Oryzias latipes: one gene and its partners. The protein of the gene in region 1 purifies or fractionates together with the protein of each later gene. This does not show direct contact. Links are inferred from orthologs where the notes say so. Each region holds a gene or a part of one and is shown on either strand. Other genes may lie near its edges.

Region 1 (4,714 bases):
AGACCCAAACTATTTGACAACAGCACCAAGAAGCACAACCGATGTAAACGAAATCACTAATGTCCTACCAGTCATCAGATATGGGTATATTTGAAAAGAAAAGCCTTACTCCAACTTGAGGATAAAAATGAAAAAATGAGATAATGATCTGCACTTCTCTTTAGGCTGATCCATGGGCTCCGGGTAAAAAATCCCAGACAGAAAGGAGAAAATGGGAAGGCAAAACGTTCTCTCATTTAGGCTGAAATTGTGGAGGAAATGTGGATCCTGCTTCTTGATGCTGCCCTCTCTGTGAAAGAAAAAGCTGAGTCACAAAAGGAGACCTCATCAGACAGCTGCTGTACCTGCCTGCAGGGGGAGGGAAAGCTCTGTGGATGGGGTGGGGTCCAAAAGAGAAACCCTGGTGACTGGAGGCAGGCGGCACATGGACCGGTCTTCATGAAAGGGCTTTTCTTTCTTTCCATGTCATGCTGACCATGAGTCTCTTTATGGTGATGCTTAAGATAATCGCATAGTTCAGTGTCTTTGTGGTCCTGCTTCAGCTTTTCCTGCTTGTTTTATGCAAAGTGGATGGATTTCACCTGGAGGACTCTCTGATTGAGAGATCCAGATCCAGGTTTTGTTGGATGCAAACGATGTTCTAGCTGACGGCTGAAGCCTCTCTGGGGACTGATGTCATTGCAGCACTGACAGCAATTAGCTCTAGACATCTGCTCTGCCTCTTCCTTTCCTCTCAATCAGTGTCCGTCACTATGGTGAAAAACTGAGAACACATGGGGGGAAATTTACAATTTTAGAAATAGCATTTCAATTTAGATTTAGGTATTTTGGCACCCATTTGGTTAGAAATTATCCTAAATATTATCATTATTGTTTGATGTTTTTACATTTGTTTCGACCCATGTGGAGAAAAGGCCGCTTCGATTTGGAGCCGGCTGTTTTTATTTTTTCTCATTTTATTTTCATTTACTTTTCTTAAACTGATTTTTTAAATCAACTTTCAATCAAGAAAAAATGGATGGAAATGTGACAAAGGGGAGTGAAAAAAGGAAGAAAACATGAGTAATGGGGAGAAGAAGAGAACAAAAGGAAAGCAGGGAAAAGAGAGAAGAGAAAGATAAAAATAAAAAAGACACAGAATGACAAAAAATTAAAAAAAAATGGGGAGAGGAAAAGAAAAAAACAGAATTAATTAAAAAGAAAAAAACTGTTTTTTGAAAAGTGCTGGAAGAAACTGAGAGGAAGGTGAGAAATTAAGAAAAAAAACAAAGGAATCAAAAAACAGGAATTAAAAGACGAGAAAATCTGAGAAATGGAAAAATGATAAGATGAGGTAATATAAAAAAGAAAACAGTCAAAGATAGAGGAATAAAAGAGGAGAGAATATAAGTCAGAACATTATTTATTACAATTGAAGAAAAGTAAACAAAAAAGGATGACGAGGGGAGAAAAGACGAATAACAAACGAAGAAAAACCCTGGAAGAAAAGGAGACAGAAGAGAAAAGTAAACACGCACAGCAGAGAAAGAATGGAAAAGAAGAAAACGAGAATGTGTATTTGTCAAAAAGACAAAGAGAAAACAGCCTTCAAACAGGAAATGACGAATCTTTTGGGAATTTGATTGGAAGATCGTCAGCGGAAGTGACGTTCTACGGCGGAAGTGACGTTCTACGGCGGAGCGGGAAACAGCGGCGCTTTGGGGCTGTGGAGCGGTTTTGGAAAGGGGTGTTTATAAAGGCAGAGTTGTCATTGAACGTTGGTGTTTGGTCCTTTCTCTGGACTTTCTGGTAAGATACTGTACGTGCAGCTGTATGAAGAAAAAAGTAGTCTTTTTTGTCAGCTAAAACAGCTCGCGCGCGCGGTTCGTGCTGCTTGCTAGCTTCGACCACAACAACAACAACTTGTGCAAAACGTGTTCAATCGGACGAGTGTAGCAGAGGCTGGGGGAGCATCATCGTTTGGAAAGCTAACGTTTCAGGAAGTCATCATTAAAACTGATACTGGAATTAAATGTATCTGTTTCAATCGTATTAGAAAATAGAGATCTTCACTGCTCGTAACATTATTTTGTTTATAAAGTTTTAATGCAAAATAGCCCTAAATAAGTTGACAATGAATTTGTCATTTTTTAAGTTGTATTTTAGTAGATTAAAAAAAAATATATTACTTGTAAACTAAATTAAGTAGTACTATTTATTTCATTAGAATCTTTCACCGACAGCTGTCACAAAGTGCCTTACAAAAGGAAAATCAGACATAATTTTTAAGCCTCCACTGAAAATGCTATTGTGTCCCTACTAGGGCTGCACGAAATGAGGAAAAACTTGCGATATGAGGGATTAATATTGCGATAACGATATAATTTGCGGTATATAAACAAATAGCGAAACAACCAAAAACATCATTCCCATTTTATTGCAACAGTTTAAGAATTGTACTCCAAATGACCCTCGTTGACATAGGAGGGAACATCTAACATAAAAGGGCTCCATCTGATTGGTCAACAACGCTAAAGGCTCTATCCGATTGGTCAAATGCATAAAGGGATTTATTTGATTCGTTAAATAATTTAAGCTGCCATAAGATTGTTTTAGCACATTTAAGGTAACCATTTATTGCATTTTTTGCTGTGTTTTGCGATATGCAGATTGCACAGCTTGATCTTGCGATAACGATAAATTTGCGGTATATTGTGCAGGCCTAGTCCCTACTGACCAAAAGGTTGCCTTGCCTTGTGCCCCTTTCTACTGTAAGCTCCTCATAGTCGTACGGCTCTGTCGTTGGTGTTTCTCTGGGTTCCTGGCTCATCCGTCCTTCTCTTGATCCAGAAGGAGCCATGCAGGCATTTCTCAAAGGAGCGGGTGTCGGTAAACCTCTGAAGGATAAAGGGCCGGCTGGGCCCAGCGCAGACAAGAAACCAAAGACTGTTCCTTGGGTTGAGAAATAGTAAGTCTTTGTTCTATAAATGAACCTAAAAGCTTCCGTACACTCACGCCGGGACTGACTGCAGTATCACTACACAAACATTAGTGTTGTGTTAACTCTGTAGTTTGTGTCATGTAACATGGAAAAACAGTTGTAGTCTGTTAGTGAATCCTCTTCATGATGGTTTGATGGACAGACTTTCAGCTCATTCTTTGTTTGTTTGATTATTTGGCAAAACAAAAACAAAAAGCAGCCATGTTAGGTTGGGTAATGTTTGGTTTCTTCCATCGTTTTTTCAAACAGTGGCTCAGTCTGATAGCAGTTCCTGTTGCACTTTTATTGATGACTGGATCTAGGATCATTTCAGCCACTGGCACAATGCATATGAATGTGGAAATCCGTGGGATAGATCAGGTTTTCTGACTGACAATAGCAAGTGAAATAAAAAAAACTGACAACTGCATGTTTTGGTTTTCTCAGGTTTCATTTCATACACTAAAGTGTTGTTGTAGAGATGTGTAACCGGCTGCATGTTCACTTGTGAAATAGCTGAAGCTACAATGGGTTCAATACTAAACTCTGAGTTGCTTTACTTCTTTGATTTTCTGTTTTCCAGCAGACCAAAATGCGTGGATGAGGTGGCCTTCCAGGAGGAGGTGGTGGCGGTGCTGAAGAAGTCCCTGGAAGGAGCAGATGTTAGTATCAGAGCTTGATTTCCACTGCAGAGATCAGAGTTTGGGATGGAAGTCTCACCTGCAGAGACCTGAACTTTGTGTCTTTTCTTTAAATCAACATCCTTTTTTCAGATGCAGCTAGTAAGACCTGGTATCTCGTGTTGTCAGATTATTGCAGCAAAGCAAGCATGAGTTTACTCCTCTTCAGTTAGATGAGAACTAACTTTTCAGGCGTTGGAAAAGCCGAGTATCTCACATGTGTGTCATTGTGATTGCAGCTTCCAAACCTGCTGTTCTACGGCCCGCCTGGAACAGGAAAGACTTCTACCATCTTAGCAGCTGCTAGAGAACTTTATGGGTGAGGAAACCACTTCTGACTTTTTAGAAGCTTCCTTTCTTGTCCTTCATTTCTTCCTCACATTCTCCTTCTAACATCCCACTTTCTCTTTTTATATCCCGCTTTAGGCCGGAGCTGTACCGGCAGAGGGTGCTGGAGCTGAACGCCTCGGATGAGCGAGGCATCCAGGTCGTCAGAGAGAAAGTGAAAACCTTTGCTCAGCTTACCGTGGCAGGAACCCGTCCAGAGTGAGCTCATTTCAAATCTAAAGCATTTGGACAGACCCCCACATGCACACACCCACACTGTTTTGATGAATCCAACAGATTAAATCAGTGACTTTGGTGGAAATCCGGGGTGCACATGTGTGCGCCGAACCGTGGCTAGTGATTCGTTGCACCCCTAGAATGAATGGCCATCAAATGTCATGATGGAACACACGTGTGCTACGGTTGGTTGTTGCACCAGGATAACCTCCAAATGTAAGCATCTCATTTTAACGATTTCTGTTGGATGAGTGCTGATGAATCACGGCGGTCAGACGGTAAGACCGTCTACAGATGCCTTTGTGTCAGGGAGGCCTTTGGTCCACATTTCAGTTGTCTTGATGGGAAGCGTCTGGGTTTTATCAGGTGCCAGTCCGTTACTTTTAAAAGGGTTCTGGTATTTAAGCGATGCTTTAACCAGTGGCAAATGTTGAGCCAGAAACCCTAACAACCCATAAAACGTTGGTTTTGATCAGTAACAGACCTGCAGCCCTTTATTTTGACAACATGG
Region 2 (4,555 bases), on another chromosome or scaffold:
CCGAGAACAAATGACAATCTTAATAATAACATAAACATACGTATAGCTAAAATTTTTAATTTTTTTTTATTTTTTTACTTCTATTATTTTAAATTACATTTTTTTCAATTCAAATTTGACAATTTTTGTGCAATTTTTAAAATTCTATCCCTATATTCTACCAAAGTTGATGTTCTACTATCAGACACGGTTGTATTTTTTCACATAACTTACATGTTTCGACAGATGTCTTCTGTCTTTGTCAGAGTCGCTATTTATGTTTTCTATTCATTTTTCTGTTCCATTTGTTCTGTTTTCTTACACTTTTTTTTATTCCAGTCCTTTTCCTCATTGGGATCTTCTACACCTGAGGTGTTGGACTCGAGCCCTCGAGGGCCGGCAACCTGTTGTTCAGAAACCCTGAAATGCCTGTTGCCATGGTTACCTGAATCAGGTTTGTTTTGCCAATTAAAAGCTACAACGGCAGCTTGGATGAAAAAACAAGTAGGACACTGGTTAATGAGGCCTGGAGTCTATACCCGTGGTATCATTTGGAGTGAAGCTCTATGACGTTTCACATTTGATGTTTGGAGCCTTTTCAGCTGCTTTTGTATGAAAAGGATTTTATAAATAAAGCTTGATTGGAAGTGTTGGAAATCGAAAAGATAGAGTTTCAAACCTAGAGGAAGTCTGTGTTTTGATCCGAGCACTTTCTTTAGAGTGAACTCTAGGAGTAAACTTAGTGTACAGATTCCTGAATCACTAACTTCTGCTTCTGTTTTTACGCCGGAGTGTTTGATGATCTGCTCACCTCCATCTCTTCTTCCACCTGCAACTGTCGGGCGATTTCCTCATCACTTATCAGATCCTCAAAGTCTTGTGTTGGCTGGAAGACAGGAGTTATAGTGAAGCTGGATTGTTGTAAAACAAATGAGAGTCCTGAAAGCTGGAGGAGAAGAATGAGGAGGATTCATCAGCACTCACAGCTTTTCTCTTGGCGCTGGCTACCAGCTTCTTTTCTGAGCGATGAATAGCAGCACCGCCGAAATAATCCGCCACTGAGGTAGGAGTTAGTTTGGGTGGAGGTGGTGCAACAGACTTGGGGGTTGTGGGACTCTTTAGCCCAGATTTTCCTGTGACAGGAGAGGCTTTGGATCCTGAGCGAGAACGTTCTGCGTCCGCCTTATTGCTTTTAGGAGAACCGTTCTGTTTGGGTTTGGCTCCTTTCTTCAGCGACTGAAAGTTGTCGCTGTCCGAGTCTAAAAGCACAAAAACAGACGTCAGAAAATCGGCTTTTTAGCTTATTGAATCTGGAGGACGTTGGATGAAGAAAGGCCTCACCTGTTTCAGAGACGTACTGCACTGGGTCTTTTTTAGGAAGAGGCTCTGCTTTGCTGCTCGTCGATTTAGAAGATTTCTTAGACTTTGTTGCAGGTTTCTCCTCTTCTTCTGAATCTGAACAAAACAACAAGAATTTATCCTTCAAGCTTTTTAAAAATAGGATCTGAAATAATATTTACCTTTTAGCTGTTTTAAGTCAAGGATTCACAATTTCCTTTGACACTAAAATAAAATGTTGATTTTATGAAGGAACTTCATACCTTCTTTAAAGGTAAGTAAATCATAATAGGGCTGTGATTGTATAAATTCTGCCTTTAAAGCTATTTTAAACTATTATTTAATAATCCTATTTAATGTGTCATGTGTGTCATACTGTATGCATACGTGCAACTATGTTTATTTATGATTAGGAGTAATTATAATGTCAAGACAATAGCATAATCTTCTTTTATTTTCTAATGAACTTGTGGTTTGGTAGGTAGGTTTGGTATAACTATGTATGTTTATTTCTGCTTGATGCTTCCTGCATCACATATGAACCTCTCAGCCAGCCTCTCACTTTTTCTTTGACATTATTATATAGTGATGCTGAGAGACACTGCACCACTCAAAGACATATTACACTCGTTGTTCACCTTTTGACACATCCTGTCAGAGGTCGCTGCTGCGAATCAGCTTTCACTGAGTCACACATTTGGTTTGGCAGAGACTTTTTTTTAGGCCGGATGCCCTTCCTGACACAACCCTGTATTTTATCCGGGCTGGGGACCAGCACAGGGAGACCTGGAGTTGGCCCCCCATCCAGTGCTGTTAAATCACAGAGGTCATCTCGTGACTTTAAGCCACGCCCATTAGGTCATCCAGAGTCTTTCCTACCTGATGCTATGACAGAATACTTCTTGCGCTTTTTCTCACTGTCTTTGCGTCGCTCCTCTGTTTTGGAGCTTTTGACCTACATGAGATAACACAAGAGAAGCTCAAAATCCCAAACATGTGCAGGAACAGCACTTAGTGTAGAAGTAAAAATGAAAACACAAGAGTATCAACCTTGGTTCTTTTCACATCAGAGGAGTTGAGGTTCTTCTTCTCCTCTGCTTTGGTGTTTGGCGCTGGTTTCTGCACCGCAGGTTTCCCTGATGTCGGTCCAAAGAACCGCCTTATATCCTGAATGCAGAAGCAAAGGAACTTTGAGGCTATTTTAACAAATCAATAATCTGTACTTCAGTGTGCAAAAAAAAAATCCCTGCATCTCTTCAAGGATTAATTAAATTTAAACTACAAATGTGCGGATTTAATTATTAAAACATCCGGTAAATTATAGCTGCTGTGCAATAACCTGTTCCTATATTAAAATAAAAAATGTAGGTCAACAAGTCAATTGTCTTAAAACTGTTTTAGCTAACCCACAGCAGAAGCGCGCGACAACATCTGCTTAGCATCCAGTTTCTCCTCAATGTCAGACTTTGCTCACATGCGTTCGCTTTCTGTGTGAGGTGGAAACCATAACGGTGTGTAACATACCATGTTGGAGATAATTCCACAAGGAAACCTCACAGTTTGTTATCAGCAAAATAATAAAAACTCCCAACTACTTGGCGCCAAGTCTGCAGTCGCTAGGAGATGACGCACCGGATGCTGGCTGCGTCACTGCGTCATCCAACCAGCGTCTTGAGAAATTCATCACACATACATTTAAAATCATTTTAGACAAAACTTCTCATTTGAATATAAACGTCTTTCTGCCGCTAAAAAGATAATTTAAGTGGTTTTCTAGCTACATCTTAGTTGATAAATGATCTGCACCAAGTTAACTTTAAAGATTTATTTAAAAAAAGTAAAAATGCTTTTGACATTTTCATGTGTAGTAAAGCTTGTTTTCCCTTTCTTTTAAAGTGCCTCATAAACAGTTTCTCACTTTTATTTTCAGTCCAGTCAATACAAATCTCTCCTCACAAATAAGCCTGCGTATACTTTCTATTGTGTATTTATAATTCAGCTTTACACTAGAATAAATATAAAGTTTGAAAACGGTACAATAGAAAAATTATGTCCAGAATATTAGGAGGCAAGATAAACAATTCATTGACATGGCTGGCCTCTAAATTGAAGACATTTTTAGCTGTTTACAGAGGATTGTCAGATAATTTTTTTTTTTTGAAAGATAAAGGCCAATTTGAACACTTTTACAAAAAACATTCAACAATTCCTTCAGTATGTGTGACTAATTTTATACCTCTGACCAAACTTTACCACATTTTAGTTCAGATCACAACTGTTGTCTTTAATAAAGCTTTCATTAGATGTCGGCAACAAACGGAGCTCAGCTACTTTCAGATAAACAGCCTTAAATTAGGACTAAAATGGGCAGATGATGGAACTGCTCCACTTTGCTTCAGTGGATGACAGTCGAGATCACAAAACAGAAAGCTGGACAATTTATTTTAACCATAAAATGTATTTGTCACATTTCCGTCTGTCCAACATTTACAAAGACAACTCCATCTTATAACCAAAGGTTAATGTAAAATAAGACAGAAAATGTTTAAAATGACTTGATCCATGTAAATGATGCATGACGGAAACCAGTTTTCCCCCAAAGTTTTTGTGAAAATCATTCAATTTAAAGCTGTCCTTATATTTTGATAAATAATCCCTCACCTGCTTCTTTTATACTGTCACACTGATGAGTTTCTCAATACTCTCATTTTATGTCTTTAGGAACTTTGGATCAAAGCCGAGTCCAGTTTTCTGCTAAAACCTTCTTGATGACTTAAACCTTAAATGCACAGCTTTCTCTAATCAAGCAAAGAACAATTACACAGACAACAAGAGATCAATCGAGCTGGAAAAAGGTTATTTTATTGGTCATAGCAGAATCTGAACATTTATTCACTGGCTGACTCCACCACAGTGGTCCTTTCGCTCACATAGATGCCGTCCAAGAACTTCCTGATGTCCTTCTTCCTCACTGTGGTGGCCTGCTGGATCAAAGCCGCTGCAAAGAGAGAAACAACAAGCGGAGAGCAGAGCGTGAGAACGGGAGCTGTGAGCGGCATGCAGGCCGTGTCTGTGTGGGAGTAACTTCCAGTACCCTGGTGTGTTAGACAATTATCAGTAAAGTGGTTGGTTAGTCACAGGGAAAAAAAAGACAGAAATAAAAGTAAAAAGCAAGAATAATTAAAGAAATAAATAAAAAAGCAGGAATAGTATCCAGAGAAGTAATAAGCATGCAGTC
Region 3 (4,708 bases), on another chromosome or scaffold:
AGAACTGTATTACCTTTAAGCTACATTTAAACAAATTGAACTGGGATTCCACAAACTTACTCTAGATTTTTGAGAGGAGGCTTTGTCCACTTCCCCGTCATCCTCTGCCGCAGATCTATTTTTATTAACTCTACTAAATTTAATTCTTTTTTTTTTTTAGGAGAAAAGAAAAACAAAATTAGGGGGATGCAAATACTGCAAGTGTGAACAGAAAAAAAAATGCCCAAAAGCACCTTTACTTAAGGACAGTTTAAATGGATGCATCACCTGATTGGACTTTGCTTGGTATCTGGTGAGCTTATGATCTCTGCCACAAACACACAGTACTTGGACTTGCGTGTCTTGGAAGGCACCAGCTTTAGAGGGCTTTCCTGTGATATGGAAGGAGTCACGGCCTCATTAGACGCCTGTTGTCTCCTTGTTTTTCTGACAGGAGTCGTTGGCGTGCTCTGAGACGTTTGTCGAATGACGGCCTCTCGTTTGGATCTCCTCGTGACTGGCACAGGTGGAGCAGCTGCGGCGTCTGTCACATCTGGACCTGCAGGCAAAGTATTGGCCGCCTCGTTTTTCTCTGTAGCTTCAATCCTTCCCTTTTTCGGCCGTTTCTTTGTGGCTTCTTTCTTCTCTCGTTGGGTTTCCTCGACCGTAGGCTGCATGATCAGATCCTCACCATCAGCCGTTTTGCCTGCAGCATTCGGCGTTTTCTCTGCGGCTTCTTTCTGTTTACCTTGGCTCCTGACAGGTTTACTTTTGGGCCCATCCACGCCGGGCTGCTTGAAAGCTGCCATGAACTGTTTTCTCTCCGCTTCACTGCACTTTGGAGCGGATTCGCTTTCAAGCACAGAGAGCTCGAGATCTTCCTCCTGAAGAACCACGTTGGATTTCCGCTTCACGGTGGGAGAAGAAAGCTTGGGTCCTGAATCAGTGTGGGGAGATGTGCTGGTCTCTACGGGACTATTAGAGCTTCGTTTCTGGTTGAAGATTGAAGCCAGTTTTCCAACTCTTTTGACGTCTTCCCTGTCGGGTGAGATTGCGTGCACTTCTGCTTGTATGGTGACAGTTCGAGGCGAGATCTGCAGAGGAGACGCCAACAAATCTACGTGTTGTTCAGCTGTGGGGATATCCAACTGCTCAGCCTTTGTCTTCTCTTCTGACATCGTTTTAATGCCTTCATCATCGCTTTTGTTGTCTTCATTCTTGCTTTGACTGCGCAGAAACTCCTCGAATGAGATTTTGACCGTGCTGTCTTTAATACATGCGGCCTCTTCATCACTGGCCTTCAAACTAACATCACACTCTGCTTCTTTCTCTGGCTCGGAAGGATTTTGCTTCTTCTTCCTTTGTTTTTGTGAAGCTTTAGTAGATTTTGATTCATTTCTTGGAGTCAATTCAGAAGTTTGAAGTGCTGATTCAGACTTTATATCCTTTTTCTGAGGTTGATCGCTTTCTGACGAATCAACAGTAGACTGTAGATCTGCTGCAGAGTCTGTGTTTTCAGGGGCTTCTTCAACTATCATGCAGTCCACATCACCGATACTTTCAGCGGGTACGAGCTGCCTGGCACCTCTCCCACTCTTTTTACCACGTTTCTGAGACGGCGCTCTCTTTCCTTCTGACTTTCTTTGTTTTTCCTCCTCTTGAGACTCCTGACACTTTTCTAAAGACGGCTCGGGCGGGCATGTCTGTTCTTTAGACGAGGAAGCTTTTCGACAAAAATAGCTCATAATATTATTGGAGTGAGGAGGAGAAAAGGGTTTCTCCACCGGCTTAGGCACAGGAGAGAAATAGTTTGTGATTGGCTTGGCAGCAGGACCACCACTATCTTTGCGAGACTTCTTGCCAGGCTGTTGAAGGAAAGACAAAGTGATTATTTTTTTACGGTATAGATTTCAGTGGAAACAAACACAACAAAACAGCCTAAACACCACAACTGCCTATCATAGCCTTAATGCACAGGTCTCAACAATAGTTTTAGATTTATATGAAATATAACTGCATAACTTAGGGCCAAGCATGACAGAGTTCATAAAAATAATTATTTAAAATTCAAAGCAAAAACAAAATAAACAATTTGACAGATGTTAAGAACATGTGAGACAGACGTGCCTCCATGAATCAACTACATACATAAAATACATAACATGGATTCACAGGACACCCGCTGACGTATGACTAAGAGTTTATGGAAAGAAAAACCAGCTTGCTGTTGTTTCTCTACCTGGGTGTCAAAGTCCTCAATGACAGAGGCCATAGCCACAACACCAGCCATAATCTGACAGGACCTGAAGCAAAGCAAAACATAAAAACTGAATTAGAGCAAATATACACATACAAAGATACAAAAAAAAAAACTGCTGTTTTTTTATTTTTAATTTAAATCAAATCTTTTGGACGTTTTTCCCTAGTAGAAACAGGCAAGCCTTAGCCTAAAAGTGTCACTTGACTTGGACATACAGTAAAAAGGAAGCTAATGCTTAAACTTATCTGTTTAGGCAAAATTTTGGCCCATTGTTAGGTTTCATTTTTTTAGCAACCGTTTATCATGTTTCACAGAATTGTAAGGTGGGGTTTTTGGACGTTCATAAAAAATATATTTTTGAAAATATATCATCAGTAACATAATATGCCCAAAACTGAAACATTGTAAATAAATGCTAGCAATACTAGCCCATTCATTGATGTCGAATCCGCCACTTGTTTTACCTGTGAGGTTGTTTAAGCTTCTTTATATTGTTCTGCTCCAAGACCACTCCACCATTGTCATCGGTTTCACTGTAAAACAACAAGCTAGCAGATTTCGGCGAATAATAGTTTCATAGTTCCCGCGAAAGCTTCAAATATTTTACCGCCTTATGAGAAGCAAAAGGCCACCGTGTTCTACTCACGGTCTATAAAATAGTAAGCGCCCCAATTAGAAAAAAATATGTGTATATATATTCTCTTGACATAAACAGTCCATTCAAAAACGCGCCAGACTGACCGAGAGTGAAAAGCGCCAAATAAATGTGACCTTTGACAGGACACTCGTCCACCAATCACAAGACGGAGATCGATTTCGTCATATTGTGACGTAGTTTACCCCAAACAAAGATGGCGTGCGGACTTGCAATTTACTGATACTGAAACATTTAGAGCGCCCTCTAAAGACAACACTGTCGCAATGTTCATATGGGTTTTTCTGCTCCATCAGATTCGGAATTTTTTAAACCTCTGAATTTTTTTTTAACCCTTGATTTTCAAACAGCAAAATGTTATGCCCTGTTATTTTCTCTCTCAAATGTTTCAATATTTTTAATTTCGAGGCACAACATTTCAATGTCCTAGAAATTCGTTGTAAAAAATCGATGGAAAAAAACTTTGCTCACTAAAATAATTAGTCAATAAGAAGATACCAATAATATCCTACTGGTGGGTCATGATGAATTTAACCTTAAATATAACCTTGCTGTTCCTCCAAGAGAGCATGCCATTTTTTTTGACGCCGTTACCACTGAAATCTGTGAACTCTTTAAAAATACTGTACTTGATGCAAATATTTCCTTCATATCTCTAAGTGACACCACTATTGGAAAATCTTGTTTCAACTGTGCCCGAAAAAAATAACAAGATCATACGTGTCCTGTTTCAGCAAAATGTTTTTTCTGTTCCCTCTGCTGTTTTTTAATGGAGAAAATTTATTCCTGACTTGCCCTGGAAAAATGTTTGGACCCTGCATCAGAAATTATTAATAAATAACAACATGAGAGACGTCTCCTACAAACTCCTACATAGAATCTATCCCACTAATCAATACATGCTCAGATATAAGAAGACTATATTGACCCCAACTCTACCTTTTGTTAAGAACACCCAGAAACAATCAGTCACCTATTTTGGAACTGTAATAAAAAACTTTGGAAAGAGTGTGCACGTTTTTTAAATTACAAATTAGATTCACAATATCAGATGAAATTTGAACATATCATATTTGGCCTACACGAAAAAAACACAAGATCAAATGTAAAATTGGCAATTAATCTACTTATATTTGGTAAATTTCATATTCACAAATCAAAGTTTTCCTTATCACAACTTTTACCCCCTGTAATAATTAAAGAATTAGAATCTTATCTACATGCTATTTCTAATAGCTTAAAAAAAGCCATACATATTTATGAAAACTGTCTGTCTTTGAACATTTTTAATGCATAGCAATCTGTTTCTGTAATATTTCTTTTGTAGCACATGTACCCTCCCCTGGCATTCCTGTTGTTATGACTATTGTTCTTGTCATAGATATTTGTTCTATTTGTTTTGAAAAATAAAGTTTAAGAAAAAATAAGAAGATAGGGAAACCCAGCCAATCAAATCATGACACAGATGTGACGTCAGCGTTTGCCACGTTCTATTGGGTCCCATGATGGCAGCAAACATATTGTATTAGTGCTACAAAACAAATAAACGATTAATGATTAATGCTTTCAATGATTGTATCCAGGAAGGTTGTCTAACTCCATCTATGAAAACTTACTCCCTGAACCAAATAAGAACTTGACAAAATTAGATAATAGGAGGCCCATCACACTGCTGTGTAATGATTATAAACTATTGGCACTGGTGTATGTGAACAGGATAAAAAGGCTTCTAGACAAAGTAAAAGATGAATTTCAATCTGCCTTTATATAAAAAAGAAACATATATAATAATATTAGATCGATTCTGGATCAAT
Region 4 (4,649 bases), on another chromosome or scaffold:
GCGCCAACAGCCCTACTTATAATTCAGGTGAAGTTCTCATGAACTACCGCTGCTCTGCAGGAACTATGTCCTAGAAATCGACAGGTTTCTGGACAAAAACATTATATTCATGGTTAAGAAACCACTGGGAACGCCTACAAAATAGATCTAAAGATGATCAGAGTGGGACTTTAACACAAAGGCCTGATGTAAACCCACTTTTACCACAAAGGTCCTTAAAGCTTAAAAATTATTTTAGATTATTTTGAAAGCAGGTTATGTTGTTTAGAAGGGAAAATATGGGCAAAGATTAAACTGATAAATCCCTAAAAACGTCAAGTGGACAATTTGGAGAAGCAGGAAGTGACTTTCCTGGATTAACACAACCAGAAATAAGTGATCACAATTTAAAAATAAATAAAACAGCCAACATTTTTGATGCTGTGCCCATCGATCTTCAGCGTCCAGGTAGTGCAATGAAAACAACACACGTGACCAAAAAAAGTAAGTTCATGTTCACACTCACACTGGAACTCCCTTGCAAGCCATGCATGAGGTCACAGAACGCGGGGTATAAAAACTCTTCCAAACGCACACAACATGACATTTTACACAAACATGATACAGAAACAGCAACAAGAGTGTGATAGAGAGAAAACAACAACAAAAAGGCAGAACACTCCGAAAAAACATGGACGATCACTACCGAAGCTCCTCCGTGGACGCTCCAATAATCTTGATTTTTTTCTTTAAATCTCCTAAATCCTTGTGTGCTACTTTCTTTCAGACCCCTCGGCTACTTTCCTCAACCCACCCCTCCTTTTGAAAAAGTGTACACCTGCTATTTCCCTCTGTGGGTTTTGCTTAGAGTAGCCTCCATTCACCTTAAGGACACAACGGGCTTTTCCAAAAGAAACAAAACAATAAGTGGCATGAGGAACAGATGTGAAAAGTCACAGATGCACTTCTGCTACAGAATGCAGTCCATTAAAGACGCTATGTGAGTGGGCATTGTAGAGTAAATGGTAAGGCTCTTTAGGTAGTCAGGGATGACCCTGAAAACACATGTGTGAAAGTTATTAAATAAGAGAATACTTTTTATTTTAAACAAAAAAACAGAGGGTTTTCCTCTTGCTAGAAATGTGTGCATTGGCACTTAAAGCCAATACAATCCAACAAAGCTATGGATGGCGCTTCAGGGATGCTGAAGGCCATTTTGCTCTGTCCCATCCTTACCAGCTGTATTTGTTCTCTTCAATAAATTCAAAGTAGCCCCTTCCATGTTCCTCCCGGCGTCTCTTAACACCCTTCTTATTCTTCTGATCAGCATTCGTGTCTTTGTCCGCATCCCCTTTGAAAATAGAACAAAGATATAGAATGAGGTGCTCCTTTTTGAGACAGAGAGAGAGGTCGGACTAGCAGTGGGGTTCTGGCCCACAAAGCCCGTTCATTAGTTACATTGTGTCCATCATAATTCATATGAATGTTCAAAGAGGCAGCACTATACTTACACTGAAAATACAGTACAATCAAATGGTTATGACAGCTTTTAAGACCAGGTAGTTAAACAATAAACTGGCCAAAAATTATAAAATAAATGAGTGATGCTTTGTGGGGGCGAAATAAAAGTCTGAAAAATACACCATTGTCAATGGGGTTTGATTAACTTATAAGGGAAAGTTTACTGTTTAAGGGGGATAAATAAATCATGCAAGTAAGGCTATTTAGATATGGTTTTAAACTACCTCCCCATTTGTTACACTGTATGATTTTGGAACCTTTATTAAACAGAAAAACCACGACAAAAAAAACTAGCTAAACAAAAGCAGCAGAACCAGCTGAGCTACCACTATTTAAATTTGGGGTTAGCCATCGCAGATATTCTCCTGTTTATTTTATTTGTGCAGACTGGGAAATGAAATGTTTCAAAAGTAATTCCAGTGAGATTGTACAAATGACAGTAAGATACAAGATTTGTGGCTTGCAAATTCCCCCTTTATGTCTTAACAGGAAGGGAAAATCTGAAATGGCTAACCCTGCTAAATTAGCTTGTTAGCACTACACCAGAAACAAAGGAAATCGCGCTAGCTGACAAGCTAACACACCTTACAAAATCGAAAGAAAAAGCTTAAAGGTCAACCAAAAAGGACGGTTCTCGGCATATAAATTTAATTAAAACTATTACTAAACTTTAAATTGTGTTTTTGAAACGACTCTTTAAAACGTGCCTGAGAGAATATGGTAACGCGTAATTAGAGTTACAAAACGATTAACTAAGAGGAGGTGACCGATGCTAGCTGCTAATGCTAACTAGCTTGAATCACGCCGCCGTGTTCAACATGGACGCTCCTTGGTAACGCGCTAAAATCTTCGCAACCAGCCCCCGAAAAAAAAAAACAGCCAGCCACAGTCCATTCAGCCAGCCACCTTTTCAGCATCACTTCACCAGACTCACCCTCAGCAGCTTGCTCCCCGGGCTCACCATCCTCCGTGTCAATTTTTTCCATGTCGTCCACATCTCCCTTCAGCATCTCGTCGTCTTCGTCGCCTTCTTCCCCCTCACCCATGTCTTCGTCATCCGCTACGCCATTGCCCTCGTCCCCATTATCATTATCCTGTTCTTCCTCATTAGCCTCCATGCTCTCTTCTATCGGGCCGTCGCCTTCCTCTTCCTCTCCCATCACCTCCTGTTCGGCGGCCTGTTCGAGGGTTTCCTCCTCCGATCCCTCCTGGGCCGCAGAAGAATCCCCGACCAGGGCCTCCTCGTCGAGCGCGGCCTGCAGGCGGTCCATCAGCTCGGCCTTCAGCCCCTTGTCCGACAGATTACGCTTCTTCAGCTCGTCTTTCAGCTCGTTCACTTTCAGCTTTTTCACGTTAATTGTGCTCATTTTGAATGCAAGAGTACAAACAGTTTTTAAAAAATCGACGATAAATAAATAACTGAACGCCTATAGACAGGAAACTGCGCCAAAATAGCACCCGCTGTCCGAGAAGTCTTCGCCGGCGGAGAGCTGCGCTGAAACGGCGGTTGAGTGGGGAGGGGAGGAGGACGGCCTCTCTCCTACCGTAATCACTGAATAAATGGCGCAGCGGGTTTTTTCCCTCTTCTGGTAAACCTGCCATCTGCTACTGTCACACAAGAAAACATCTATACTTATCTTACAAACACATTATACATTATTGCAGAGAAATATTGTCCACTTATTTGCTAAAAAAGAGAAAAAAAGTTTCCTTTTTTAAATGACAGCTTAATTTGGGCCTCAGCAACAAAACGGGACAAACTACAGTTAATGTTGAAATTTAATACCAGTTTCAATGGAAATTTCCTTTGCAGCTTTGGTCTTTTATTATGAACTCTCTTTGGAATGTTGGTACTTAGTCACCTCATGACTACACTTCCACCACTGTGCATGGCAGCAGAATTATTGAATTTTATCTCCCAACTTTTCTTATCAAAGACCCACTCCATTGAAAAGCATGCTTTTCTTTTATGTGTTTTTAAAATTTTCTTTAAGCATTTTCCAATGATGATGGGCTGCACTGTGGTGTAGTGTTTAGCGCTCTTGCCTCACAGCAAGAAGGCCCCTGGTTCAAGTCCGGCTGGGGGACCTGAAACAGAACATCAATGGGGGACCTTTCTGTGTGGAGTTTGCATGTTCTCCCCGTGCATGTGTGGGTTTTCTCCGGTGACTCCAGCTTCCACCCACCATCCAAAAACATGCTTCATAGGTCACTCTAAATTGTCCATAGGTGTGAATGTGGGTGTGTGAAATGTGTGACCCAGCGACAGACTGGCGACCTGTCCAGGGAGTCCCCTGCCTTCGCCCATAAGTGGCCGGGATAGGCTACAGCAGCCCCGTGACTCCAAAAGGGATAAACAGAGGAAGATGAATGAATTTTCTAATGATGGAGGACATATATAAAGAAAATTCAGTTCTGAGTATTTCTTTATTCAAAGTTGTGAATCAGGAATAGAAAAGAAATCCAGTCTAAAAAAGCTTGTAGCTCTGATGCTACAGTTGTCTGGCCACAAGCTTCCTGCTCTGCTCCATTCTGACGCATGAACCTGTAGACGGCTAGATCTGTGTACGTCTTTCTTTTCCTCGTCTGAGCTGGCATCTGGCTTAAAACTGTACTGCTGGATAGCTCCAATATTGCCTGCCATTGTTGTTGCAACCTGACGTTAGGTTGGGTTGCGAGGGGCTGTAAGCTAGTGGGAGAGCATGTAACAAATGGATGACTGGAAATGAGGGAAGACTTCATCAGTTCTGTCCACAACTCAGAGGTGAATTTCTGAAAAACTACTGGTGGTCTGCAGAAACTATGTTCTAGAAAAACAACACAGGTTTTTTGATTTAGGCTAAAAACAGCATAATCATAATTAAAAGATCACTGGGAACACTTTTACTATAGATTAAATGATTATCAAAATGACACTTTCTAATTCCAAATTTGTGTTCTTTAAAATGTAAATATTTTTAGCTGTTGTTTTACTGTTCAAATTTGACTGTTTTTGGTACATAAGCACTAATTTCACTTTGCAATTTACAAGGTGACAGTCTTTGTCATTGATCAGCAGGTTGTAAAATTTCCGGGTTTTTTTCTGCTGTAAGAAATGTAGTTTAATCCTCATATTCAAGTTTTACTGTTAGTATTTTTTTGGTCTGTTT

Evidence for each region.
Region 2: the proteins of rfc4 (region 1) and rfc1 fractionate together in Homo sapiens (co-fractionation; 7 studies listed by BioGRID and IntAct, counting the BioPlex papers as one, with this or other methods). This does not show direct contact. The link is inferred for Oryzias latipes from reciprocal best matches to the Homo sapiens genes RFC4 and RFC1.
Region 3: the proteins of rfc4 (region 1) and ATPase family AAA domain-containing protein 5 purify together in Homo sapiens (affinity purification with mass spectrometry; 5 studies listed by BioGRID and IntAct, counting the BioPlex papers as one, with this or other methods). This does not show direct contact. The link is inferred for Oryzias latipes from reciprocal best matches to the Homo sapiens genes RFC4 and ATAD5.
Region 4: the proteins of rfc4 (region 1) and hnrnpu fractionate together in Homo sapiens (co-fractionation; 3 studies listed by BioGRID and IntAct, with this or other methods). This does not show direct contact. The link is inferred for Oryzias latipes from reciprocal best matches to the Homo sapiens genes RFC4 and HNRNPU.

Annotation. Positions count from the first base shown.
Region 1 is NC_019862.2:1,765,391-1,770,104, reverse strand, and holds the start of rfc4 (replication factor C subunit 4), read left to right. Parts: upstream 1-1,652; 5' UTR 1,653-1,798; intron 1,799-2,829; 5' UTR 2,830-2,837; coding exon 2,838-2,947; intron 2,948-3,542; coding exon 3,543-3,621; intron 3,622-3,878; coding exon 3,879-3,958; intron 3,959-4,065; coding exon 4,066-4,185; intron 4,186-4,714. UniProt on the Homo sapiens protein: Subunit of the replication factor C (RFC) complex which acts during elongation of primed DNA templates by DNA polymerases delta and epsilon, and is necessary for ATP-dependent loading of proliferating cell nuclear antigen (PCNA) onto primed DNA.
Region 2 is NC_019859.2:13,023,525-13,028,079, forward strand, and holds the start of rfc1 (replication factor C subunit 1), read right to left. Parts: upstream 2,972-4,555; 5' UTR 2,845-2,971; coding exon 2,842-2,844; intron 2,485-2,841; coding exon 2,368-2,484; intron 2,273-2,367; coding exon 2,197-2,272; intron 1,435-2,196; coding exon 1,321-1,434; intron 1,239-1,320; coding exon 964-1,238; intron 866-963; coding exon 791-865; intron 1-790. UniProt on the Homo sapiens protein: Subunit of the replication factor C (RFC) complex which acts during elongation of primed DNA templates by DNA polymerases delta and epsilon, and is necessary for ATP-dependent loading of proliferating cell nuclear antigen (PCNA) onto primed DNA.
Region 3 is NC_019866.2:13,220,916-13,225,623, forward strand, and holds the start of ATPase family AAA domain-containing protein 5, read right to left. Parts: upstream 3,016-4,708; 5' UTR 2,704-3,015; intron 2,283-2,703; 5' UTR 2,270-2,282; coding exon 2,219-2,269; intron 1,845-2,218; coding exon 268-1,844; intron 146-267; coding exon 61-145; intron 1-60. UniProt on the Homo sapiens protein: Has an important role in DNA replication and in maintaining genome integrity during replication stress.
Region 4 is NC_019882.2:13,244,850-13,249,498, forward strand, and holds the start of hnrnpu (heterogeneous nuclear ribonucleoprotein U), read right to left. Parts: upstream 3,030-4,649; 5' UTR 2,868-3,029; coding exon 2,435-2,867; intron 1,331-2,434; coding exon 1,216-1,330; intron 1-1,215. UniProt on the Homo sapiens protein: DNA- and RNA-binding protein involved in several cellular processes such as nuclear chromatin organization, telomere-length regulation, transcription, mRNA alternative splicing and stability, Xist-mediated transcriptional silencing and mitotic cell progression.